Xenopus tropicalis: one gene and its partners. The protein of the gene in region 3 purifies or fractionates together with the protein of the main gene of each other region. This does not show direct contact. Links are inferred from orthologs where the notes say so. Each region holds a gene or a part of one and is shown on either strand. Other genes may lie near its edges.

Region 1 (3,467 bases), on a different chromosome or scaffold from region 3:
CTAGCGTTCAGTAGCCGCAGTGATGATCGCACTGTCTCCAGGGCAGGTTTCTGCCACAAACACAGGAGAAAATACAGTGGAGGTTAGAGAGTCACTGGCCAACTGCATAGGGGATCCATGTCTTCTACATCACTGGGAACTAGTTACATCCACACAGATACACAAATACTTTTCTGCCCTCATTTTCTATTGCTTGATTACTTGTGCTCTTATTAGTTCTTTAGTTCTTCTAATATATATATATATATATATATATATATATATATATATATATATTATATATATATTATATATATATATATATATATATATATATATATATATATATATATAAAATCTGAGTTAGTACTGTGTAGCACCAAACATGTAAGGCTTTTTGTATAGAATATATATATATGTATATATATGTATATAGTATATCGTATATATGTATATAGTAAGTTAGTACTGTGTAGCACCAAACATGTAAGGCTTTTTGTATTTCTCCTCTATTAAAGTCTGTTTTAACTTTAAACACCTCTTTTGTCGGATCTATGAGTGCCTGCTGACATTGTAAGTATTTAACAACTCCCAGCACCCCTAAAACTCTTGGCTATGTTGAGTTTAGCAGGGGAGCAACAAACTGAGCCACTCCCAGACAACTGGTTGGCTATAATGTTGCCCTGTGTGAGTAGAAGGCGCTTACCTTGGGGAAGAGAGATGCCATCTCCGTTACTGCTGAGTGAATCTTTTCCGAGCAAGGGACAAAGCTAAATAAAAAGCAGAATGAAAGAAACTGAGTGCAGGAGCCAAAGCCAGCGATGCAGGCAAACGTAGCTCACTTGGTACATGAGTGGGCATGTGGAGCAATACAGTAAGAAGCCAACATGAACAAAACTAAGGAAAGCATATTGTTTACTCACCCATTCTCTCGCCTCTTGCCCTCCCCTTTGTCTTCTGCTCTCCCTGTCTCCTTCTGTCCCTTCCTGCTCTCCCTTTCTCTCCCCTTTCCTATTCTTCTTCCTTACTATCCTCTTATTTGATTTTTACTGTATACCAACTTCTCTCTCATACATCTTGTGTTCTCTCAACATCCATTTTCTCCAATGCACCCTTCTTTCTGCCGCTCTCCTATTTGGCAGCCTGCTTATTACATCCCCGTTCTGTTCTTTTTCTCTCATTGCCATTGATTTTCATCCATTATTTTGTTTATTCTCAACCTTTCTATTCCATTCTGCTTTTCCCCTTTTCCCTTCTGATTTTCCCTTTCCTGCTCTCCATATTTTCCTAACATTCTCTGATGCTGCTCCCGCTATCCTACCCCCCCAACCAATTCTCATTATTATTAGAATGCCATGAGGATGTGCCCTGCTGCAAATCCAACTTTGCTCATCATCTACTTAGGCCATGTTTCACACTGTATTAAAATGTGTTGTTATTGCTTTTTAATGAAAGCTTCTATAGAAACCCCCCTCTTTTTGTCATAAAATCATTCATTTGAATATAAAAGGACAATGGTGCATAACCACAGGCAGATTATCATGGTTGTTGTAGTGTTTATGCACCCTTTTTATATAAAGTGGAATGAGTTCATGCCAAAAGCCTGTTTATTTTCCCTTGAAATCTCTCCTGCATGCCCATCCTATCCAGTTGCTGCTCACTGATCCCATATAGTGCAATCTCCCTGTAAAAAAAAGCCAGAGAAGGTCCCAAATCCAGGCAAAGATACTGTGTATTATTAGACAGTGCTGCAGAATAGTATTTTCTCCCTGCGACTATTATTTTAATAAATGCTGCCCCAATGTCTGTTGCAACACCCCCTAGTTTGCTGCAGTATTATTATGGGGTGCTTTCTTGCAAATGATCCTCAGTTGTGCCGCTGCTCTCCCTCACCTGTCGTGCTTGAACTCCTGTGCAGCCCGCAGCAGCTCCTGGATGTTTTTGGTAACTTGCTCTGTTCGAAGGATCACATCCTCTGTGCTGGGCAGGGCAGGGTCTAACTCCAGTTCCACATCTTCAGCCTCCGTGTGGGGATCCTCATCCCGGGACACATCCAGGTACCGCCTGCCATCGAGCCTAGAAAGAGTTCAATATACAGAGCTCATTACCCACTGTGCACTGGGAGAGAGTGGAACTATCACTGTTACGGCTATAGCACAGGGGTGCACAACACATCCCTATGTCCTACAGATCCCTGCTTGCCCTATTACCATCCATACAACTGTATAATTAGTCAGGGCTCAGCAACCTTCTGTAGCTTAAAGTCAACTGAATTAAGAACTGGTAGTAGAAGTCACTTGAAAAAGGGCCAGGTTAGGGCCTGAAACATTGCTTGGAGTCGGAGATCTAAGCCATGAATTTCCAATAAAAAGGCTATTTACATTTCTAACCCTGGATGGTTCAGTGATTCTGCTAGCTATTATCACCATCCATACTCAGTTGACAACCATATGTTTGAGGTAACTGGCCCCCCAGTGATATTACCTTTCCTTGCCCTTCATGCATTGGTTGAGTTGATGCTGCTTATTTAACAAACTGGATGTTTTTTCAGTAAAGCAAAATATGTGGAGCTATTAAGATGGCTTTTTGAAAACATTAGCAAAAGGTCTGAGTAACCCAACTGCCACATTGGTGACCAGCTCCTACACCATATATAGCAACAGCCAGTCTTGTAAGCACCCCAGAGTATTTTTAGCAATTACTTTGCCCCATGCCAGATACATGATGTATCCTAATAGGCGGCACTTCGGCAAAGGGTTCATTTATTGCCCTTGCATTGTCACATACCCGCTGCTGGTTTCTGTGCTCTGCGTATTATCATAGTCACTGTCTGTGCCGCTGCCATGCCGCTCCGGTTTTGTAGGCTGGGGAAAAAACAAACATTAGGAATCTCATTTTCCTACAACTTGGCTGCTGGAAGTCCCAGGCTCTGTCCCAATAGGGCGTTCAGTATGGATGGAGAGACTGGTAATGCAGGCTCAAACCTGCCATTTGCCCAAAGCTTTTTGTTCCAAAATGTATTACACTAAGTATTTTGTGTATATATTTAGCTACACTAAGGGGCCTATTTATTATGCTGTGTAAAACAGGGCAACAAAATTCGCCACGCATTGCCAGGACTCGCCATGTTAAAAACTGCAGAATCCTTTAAATGCATTTTTTTTCTTCCACTGGAACTTACATAAAATAACAGCGTGAAATGTGGCATACGGACGGTAAAATTCACCATTTATTTTACACAGCATAATGAATAGGCCCCTTAGTATGTTGTGTATATGCTTAGCTACACTTAGTATTCTGTTGTGGCTCTTTAAGTTACATGAAACATAAAGGTCACTAGTGGTTAAGGGGTTAAAAACCTGTATTACAGGAGAGAAATAGGGTGGCACTCAGCAGAACGAAATGCATTCTATTTTTTCCCTGTTGGACTGTTTGGCTAGTTTTAGCTCCCAGGCATATATTTAGTAGTCTGAATCACTGCATTTCTC
Region 2 (4,417 bases), on a different chromosome or scaffold from region 3:
TATATAATTCATGCATATATGCCTTTGGTGGGAAGTGAACTCTGGGGCTGTCATCAGTGTGGAAACCACTTAACTGCTATGCCTTCCATGCGTTTTAGCAATTTGTTATAGTTAATCAAATGTGTAAAACATATCAAGAGATGTTCAAACAGATTTAGAAAAAAAACCCTATTGCTCAGAGAAGAGTCCTCAGCCCCACATACAAATAATGTCATCACCACAAAGCTGGGACATGTAAAATGTTTTTTCCTTGACAATAAGAAAAGGGCCAAGAAGTGACCCATGCAGTTACTGGCATCATAACATAAACAATGGTTTTTCTGACAATTATTTGCACAACCTAACTACTCCGACACGTCATTTTGTTATGCAGGTATTTCTATGCAACAGTTGGTAACATATCATTGTGACGGCAAAGGTTTTTACCATACATAAAAATGTGTATTTTTGTATGAAAAGTCCCTTTTCATTACAAAATTACATAACCCTTTGCATATAAGGCTCCATATGGATAGTCTATGGTAATTTTTAGTGATTTCAAGTTCTTCAATTACATGAAGAACAAAGTACAAGTACAGGTATGGGACCCATTATCCAGAATACTCGGGACCTGGGGTTTTCCGGATAAGGGGTCTTTCTGTAATTCGGATCTCCTACCTTAAGTCTTCTAAAAAGATTATTTAAACTGTAATTAAACCCAATAGGATTGTTTTGGCTAAAGTAAGTATTAATATCTTAGTTGGGATCAAGTACAAGGTACTGTTTTATTATTACAGAGAAAAAGGAAATCATTTTTAAAAACTGGAATTATTTGCTAATAATGGGGTCTATGGGAGATGGCCTTTCCGTAATTCAGAACTTTCTGGATAATGGGTTTCCGGATAAGGGGTCTGATACCTGTACTTGGCTTTCCAGCTATTCCATTACTGCTGTGATCAGATCCAAACAAATTCTATATGTGTAATGGGCGTACGGCTAATTAGAGCATTTTGCAGCTCTAGGATCACCACACTACAAATCTCCCTTCCATTATCATTGAACTTAAAGTACCCAGTGCAGTTGCACAGAGTTAATTATTTCCTAAAAAAAATAACACTTACACTGTGCCACTGAGAGAGAGTCCCCCTATGAGCAGTGGGTGTTTAGGGTCCCATTTTGGGAAAAATTAAACATTTATTGATTGTTACAAATATATTCTGTTTCTATTTATTCCAATTATTATTATTGTTTGTTTGATGCCAATATAAACTGCAGCACTTTACAAAGAGTAGTACAGGTATGGGACCTGTTATGCTCAGGACCTGGGGTTTCCAGATAAGGGATCTTTCTGTAATTTGGATCTCCATACCTTAAGTCTGCTAAAAATAATTTAAATAATATAAACCCAATAGGATTGTTTTGCCCCCAATGAGGATTAATTATCTAGTTGGGATCAAATACAAGGTACTGTTTTATTATTACAGAGAAAGGAAATAATTTTCAAAAATCAAAATTATTTGCTTATAACAGAGACGGCCTTTCCGTAATTTGAAGTTTTCTGGATAATGGGTGTCCAGATAACAGGTCCCATACCTGTACAAGAATGGCATTATAAAAATGACAACACAAGCCAAGTACAATCATTATCACAATTCATATCATAGAGAAAGGAATGAAATAATTGAATGAATCTTGCCTATATGCTTACAAACCAGTACAACTGAAGCATTAATATACCCGCTGCTGGTCCTTTCACTGGAGGCTGGGAAGGGGCAAGTATGGGGCACCCAAACAATGTTCTCCGCCTAGGTTTAGCGACTGCCTTGATCTGCTATTTCTAATATCATGCCACAAATACACACAATGAATACAAAAAGTGTGAACAATATATGCTATTTAGCACAGCACCCACTTGCTAAACAATCCTACCCATATACAGCAGCTCATTAAAGAAAGCCCCACAATGTAAAAGCCCACAAGTGACACATCAGCCACATGAGGCCTAGATTAATAATCACAGCGGGCAAACAAGACACCCAGCAACACGTGCCCCCTGAGCTTGCAGCTCCCATGGGTGCCAAAGGCGCACCCAGCACCACTGACACGACTAGAGCTGAAGCACAGAGCTGCACTAACACACACAGGCAGCACTAACACACACAGGCAGCACTAACACACACAGGCAGCACTAACACACACAGGCAGCACTAACACACACAGGCAGCACTAACACACACAGGCAGCACTAACACACACAGGCAGCACTAACACACACAGGCAGCACTAACACACACAGGCAGCACTAACACACACAGGCAGCACTAACACACACAGGCAGCACTAACACACACAGAGCTGCACTAACACACACAGGCAGCACTAACACACACAGAGCTGCACTAACACACACAGGCAGCACTAACACACACAGGCAGCACTAACACACACAGGCAGCACTAACACACACAGGCCCGCGGGCAGCACAGCCCCCATGCCACAATGCACTGAGTTTCAATGGGAAATCTACAGTCTGATTCTGGGCTCTCGGAGGATGCTGGAAGTTGTAGTTGAGTCGGAACACTGCGTAATTACTATAGCAATGTCGCCATCCCCCATTCCGTGACGCCTGCCAACCACAAAATGGTTTGACACGCAAGGACCCCCTTCTTAAAGCAAGTGACACCCGGCGGCTCGCTGCTTACCCGGCACGCTGCAGTCTGCACACACCTCCGGGCTCCTCAGCCGCTTGGACATGGTGGCGGGCAGCCCCGGGGAGGGCCCCTGGAGAACTTCTCTCGCTAGAACGAAGCGAATTAGTGTGCAAGCAGCAGCGCTGAGCACAAAAAGAAGGGCCTCGGGTTGCGGGATACAAAGCGCCGTATAGAGAAAAAAAAATCCGATGTAACAAGCTAACCCAGCCCGAACTGACGGACTCCGACGGACTGCAAGGCAAGCCACGCCCACATAGCCCAGACAAGCACAGCAAGCCCAGCCTGTGATACGCCCCGCCCACACAGGCTAGACAGGCCACACCCACGCAAGCCCCGCATCTCCAGTTCCATCTAATAAGCCCTTCCCATACAATGGTAACATACTCGCGTTTTCTCCGCCCACGTTTGTCTTGGACGCACCTTCAAGTCACAGGAAAGCTTGCGTCCTTGTTACGCACATTGCAGTCGCTGCTAGCATAATGCCAATCATCTTCCAAAATTCGACTTCTACGGTTGTGATTGGGTGTGAAACTTTTGGCCTTCCGGCTGCGTGATGTTTAGCGCTTAGAATCCTTCCTTGCGTGCGCATGTAGATAACAAATGGCCAGTCAACAGGGTTTTGAGATATTCTGCTGTGTGTGGTCATTCCATCCCTTCAATGATCCCCCTCTCAAAACCTGGTATAAGAATTCGTTTTAGTTGCTATTTACCTTTTTAACAGCTGGAAATAGCGTCATGCTGCACTCGAATGTTGTGCTTTTGTAAATATCAAAACAAATATTGTTTTTGCTTTTCCAAGCACAATACTAGTGTTTATCAGTTTCTATATTTATTGTTTTTGCATCTGGACAAAAGGCACCCAGGTACATGTTTCTTTCCTATAGGCGCAACATGTATAGGTGGCTGCAACTGTAGTATAAGGAGTGACCAGCGATTGGGCATATAATCAGTTCCATTCAGCTAGTTATGTGCAAGTAGTTCTCTAGCTCTGATTCTGTGAAATTCCTCTTTGTACCCCCTGATAAAACTGACTAGTGTGTTGTGTGAATGTCATTCACTGATAAGAATGATGTATAATCTCTTTAAAGGCCTACAGAATATGTTGGTAGTATATATCAGTTGAAATAATAATGTGGTTTGCTTAAAGTTGCCACCTTTCTTGTTTTCCCTGAGGCTGGTAAGTTCAAAACTGTCTTCCAGGTTAAACTGTAACAAAATTTTACTGGGACTCTTCAATCCCCACCCTTTTACACAATCACCCATTCCTACATGTCATTGACCTGCATCCAAACTCATAGCCATGCCCTCTTTGATTTAAACTTTTGAATTCGTATGACTAGTTATAGAAAGGTGCTAACAGTTGAGACAACATACTCGACTTGAGCAACTGTCCTGATTTTAGATGAACAGCCCCCCTTTTTAATTTACCACTGTATCTGAGGGGCAGAACTGTGTCTTGTTTAATGCTTGGGGGCTACAATATGTATGTGAGGGCCTTAGTGTATCTTATTCTAACATGTAAAAAGGGGTGTGTTTTTACTTTGGATGGTATTTTGAGAATGTGGACCTAGCCAAATTCATTTTGTCCCTCTTTTGGTTTTTCAAAGTTTAGGAGTTAAGAACTACCATAATATAGTCCAGTACTAAATAGAAGCCCACTCTCCTTGTACATTGTAAGCTCTTTTGGGAAGGGCTCTCTTCACCTCTTGTATCAGTTATTGATTGCT
Region 3 (3,655 bases):
AAAATTATGGGATTACATTAAATTTTTGTTTTAGCAGGTATGCTTTGTCATGTCTGTCAAGAGACAGACATTACTCTCTAAACAACACGTGCCATAAACCTAAGGAAAATGCGGAAGCCGTTTGCCACTTTTACCTGGTGCAGAGAAGCTTAGATATTTCTGCTTGTCTGTGTGTTTGGAGTCATAAAACTTTAAAACATCCAGGACAGCTTGTGGATTTTTCTTCTGTTCGAGTTTAGTAATGTTTGAGGTCTGCAGTAACCGTGCCCATTGCTCTGGCATTCCCTATAACAATAAAATATGACAGGCGGTTAAGACACAAATGCATCAATGGGGCACTTACCTAATAAACCCTATATAGAACTTACTGCCAAAAAAATTCTCAAAGAAAAAAAATTTGTACTAATCTGACTTCTTGATAATTGAATACTATATACTATCTAGAATATAATGTGTACCAGATCTAAAAGAATGCGGAGCATAAAGTGAAATAGCACAGCACAAAGTAAAGATACCTTGATCAAATGGAGAAGGAAGCAACTTGCACAACTATGGTTTAGTGCCAAAGACAATAATGTTTACAATGTAGCTTAAAAGTGGTTGCAATGCCACAAAGATCTCCATATTGCACAGAAATCTGTAGGCAGAGATTCTTGGCTTCTGTGTGCACCACATATTGTCTGATTAGAACATTAACAGGGCACACCAGCTGTTCCCTAAACTTGCCTAGAAGCCATATGCAATGTATAAAATACCATATATTTTGGGGTATTTACTTGCCATACTAAGGGTAATCTTTCTAAAAAATGTCCATAAATCCCCTGGCATTCATATTTGTGAGCTTTTGCTAGTCTACCCTAAAGCATACATAAGAAATATTCTGCAAAGTGTCAATTTTGAGAGTTTTTTCCCAGGAATTCTGCCATATATAATTTCTTGTTTAGTTTGCAGTAGAATATATCCACATGATCAACAGTAATGAAACTCACAGTGAATTCTCCAGTGACAGCATCAAAGCCCACATGAATAGTGTGCTCAAAATCTGACGGTGGTGAAATCTCTGGCCTTTCCCTTTCTTTTTTTCTGCTTCCTGCCAATAAACAGATAGTAACATTTTTTTTTTTTTTTTAAAACACATGCGCTTTACATATATACATCTCATGATTGAGGATTAAAATACATTTTAGTTAAGCTTATGTCATGCATGGAGATTAGTAGCAGATTAGTAAATAAATGTAGAAAAAAAGACTTATTTGAAGACATTTAACACCAGTAGAAATGTAACACCCTATGTGGCACAAGACTTACTGTTACACAGAGTGATTTATAAGGCTATTAAACAATTTAAAAGATAAATACAGTTATTGAAACACTATCAATGCTTTAGACATAAGAAACACATAATGTACAGGTTAACCAACATACAGGAAACAATCAGATATTTGCATTACTCTGCAGCAGACCAGCAAAGTGTACCCGTTTATTTGTTGCAATAAGGAACTAATCCTAGGCCACACATTGAACATCCCATGGAAAATTTTTTATTTGTTCCTCAGATATTTGATCTTTATTTCAACAATAATTATAAATATATTAATGCACCATTCACATTTTGTAGTCCATGCCTTAGCCTGGGTATAAATAAGGTGTAATGGATCATTTAATTGTCTAGAAGATCATCCAGAAGTCAAGAACATTTCAAACAACTGCTAACTTGCCCAGGTCAGGCTGCCTCAGTAAGTTTAGACTGAGAATAAACCAAGATACTAAAAGAAGCCTCTAAAAGCCATAGAATTTAATCATAGGAACTACCTGTAGTTCACCCAACTACTGATGTGATGAAGAGCAGAAGTCTACGGTTATAAAGAAGTTTTACGAATAAGATGTATATGGGAATTGTAGTGAAGAAGCCTGTACTGTCCAGAAAGATCAGAGCAAGACTTAATTTATTTATAAACATATAAGAAAGGGCTTCTGCAACAACGTGCTCTGGACAAAGAAGTTATTTTTTTTACAGTACCAGAAGAAATGTCTGGTGAAAACTAAAAACAGCCAGAAGAATATATTAACTGTAAAGCATGGTGGTGGTTTGAAGCTGTTTTGCTGCATCAGGGCCTTGGTAGGACATCATACAATTTACTAGAAATTCTTTATTGTACTAGAGAATAATGTGCATATATATGCACACACATTCTTTATGAAAATTAAATATTGATGTGTCCACTTTTATAAAGATAAAATAAAAACTTGGGTTGTACATACTTTGTGACTGTATGTGATCTCCTTCACATCTACCATGCCCAAAATGCAGGCAGAACTTACTTGGAGAATTCCATATTTAAATGTGAATGCAGCAGTACTAACATGCAGCTTGTGCGAGACCATATCGTCTCTAACCATTCAATGTAGTAAGGTCACATAACAAGGGTTCATAACTGATCTGGTAGTAAGGATACCAATTCCAATCCAAAACTTTTTATAATTCTTTGATGCATCTGAATCTCAAAGTGATTCTATATTCCGCCTATGGATGCAGAAAATCCATATGTAATACAAGTTCTAGTGTTCCGACATCTGTTCAGCACACGTGTATGATAGACGTGTGCATTCCAATCTGCTCATTCAGCAAGCTTGTATTTTTTACTCCTGATCTCTGCAGTATTCCCTGGATGCTCCCTCATCTGGGCAAATGTTCTACTTTAGGTGACCTACACCTGTCTTTCAGGTGCTATTCTGAACTGTTAAAATTATGGATGGGACAAATAAAAGGAACAAATAAAAGGAAACTATCAAGCAAAATAAAGTCTTTTTTATGCACTGAAATTTTGGCATGATTACATTTTGGAACATTCATGCTTTCTCTATTCACATGTAATTATAAAGAACCTTACACAAATCACATGCAGTCACTTTAAACTCAGGGAGGGTTCTCATTCTAAGTAGGGATACACCGAATCCAGGAGACTGTTTGGGATTCAGCCTTTCTCAGCAGGATTCAGATTCGGCCGAATCCATGTGCCTGGCCAAACTGAATCCTTAAAATGTGACGGAAGTTGAAAATTCTTCACCACGCGCGGTTCTCTTTAACCCTTCGGTATCTTCATTTATATATTAAAATTTGGATTCAGTTTGGTATTCGCCCAATCTTTCACAAAGGATTTGGTGGTTCGGCTGAACGCCAAAATAGTGGATTCAGTTCTATGGCAAATAGAATTGTACAAACAAATATGCAATGAGGTTTCAGTTACACATGTAGCTTTTACAGATGCCACAATCACCTCTGTATCTTAAATAAGGAACTTAAAAGCTTTTTATTGCTGTTAAATTATGTAGCGAAATGGTTCCAGAACTTTGATGCTTATTGGCCTAAATATGTAGTTATCGCCCATATATCTACTGAGCAGTTTGAAAATACTATTGGATAAGAATCTACAGAAGTCTATCCATCAGCCAACCCATGATATTGTACAATCATTGGCCATGGGTTAAACAGAGGCACCACACAGCATGGCTGCCTTTCGATTTTGTCAATAATCTAGGCTATTTGCTGAGGCACCATACACTCACTAAATATGCAAACCTGCCCAGACCCCAAATTAATGAATATATATAGTATATGGATTTTGGGCAAGAATGGCAGGTCAACATACAGGTA

What was found.
Region 1: the proteins of pak2 (region 3) and git1 purify together in Homo sapiens (affinity purification with mass spectrometry; 5 studies listed by BioGRID and IntAct, with this or other methods). This does not show direct contact. The link is inferred for Xenopus tropicalis from reciprocal best matches to the Homo sapiens genes PAK2 and GIT1.
Region 2: the proteins of pak2 (region 3) and git2 purify together in Homo sapiens (affinity purification with mass spectrometry; 3 studies listed by BioGRID and IntAct, with this or other methods). This does not show direct contact. The link is inferred for Xenopus tropicalis from reciprocal best matches to the Homo sapiens genes PAK2 and GIT2.

The regions. Positions count from the first base shown.
Region 1 is NC_030678.2:32,816,523-32,819,989, reverse strand, and holds part of git1 (ARF GTPase-activating protein GIT1), read right to left. Parts: intron 2,844-3,467; coding exon 2,767-2,843; intron 2,056-2,766; coding exon 1,873-2,055; intron 750-1,872; coding exon 686-749; intron 51-685; coding exon 1-50. UniProt on the Homo sapiens protein: GTPase-activating protein for ADP ribosylation factor family members, including ARF1.
Region 2 is NC_030677.2:147,407,211-147,411,627, forward strand, and holds the start of git2 (ARF GTPase-activating protein GIT2), read right to left. Parts: upstream 2,899-4,417; 5' UTR 2,734-2,898; coding exon 2,682-2,733; intron 1-2,681. UniProt on the Homo sapiens protein: GTPase-activating protein for ADP ribosylation factor family members, including ARF1.
Region 3 is NC_030681.2:129,785,955-129,789,609, forward strand, and holds part of pak2 (serine/threonine-protein kinase PAK 2), read right to left. Parts: intron 1,091-3,655; coding exon 990-1,090; intron 286-989; coding exon 135-285; intron 1-134. UniProt on the Homo sapiens protein: Serine/threonine protein kinase that plays a role in a variety of different signaling pathways including cytoskeleton regulation, cell motility, cell cycle progression, apoptosis or proliferation.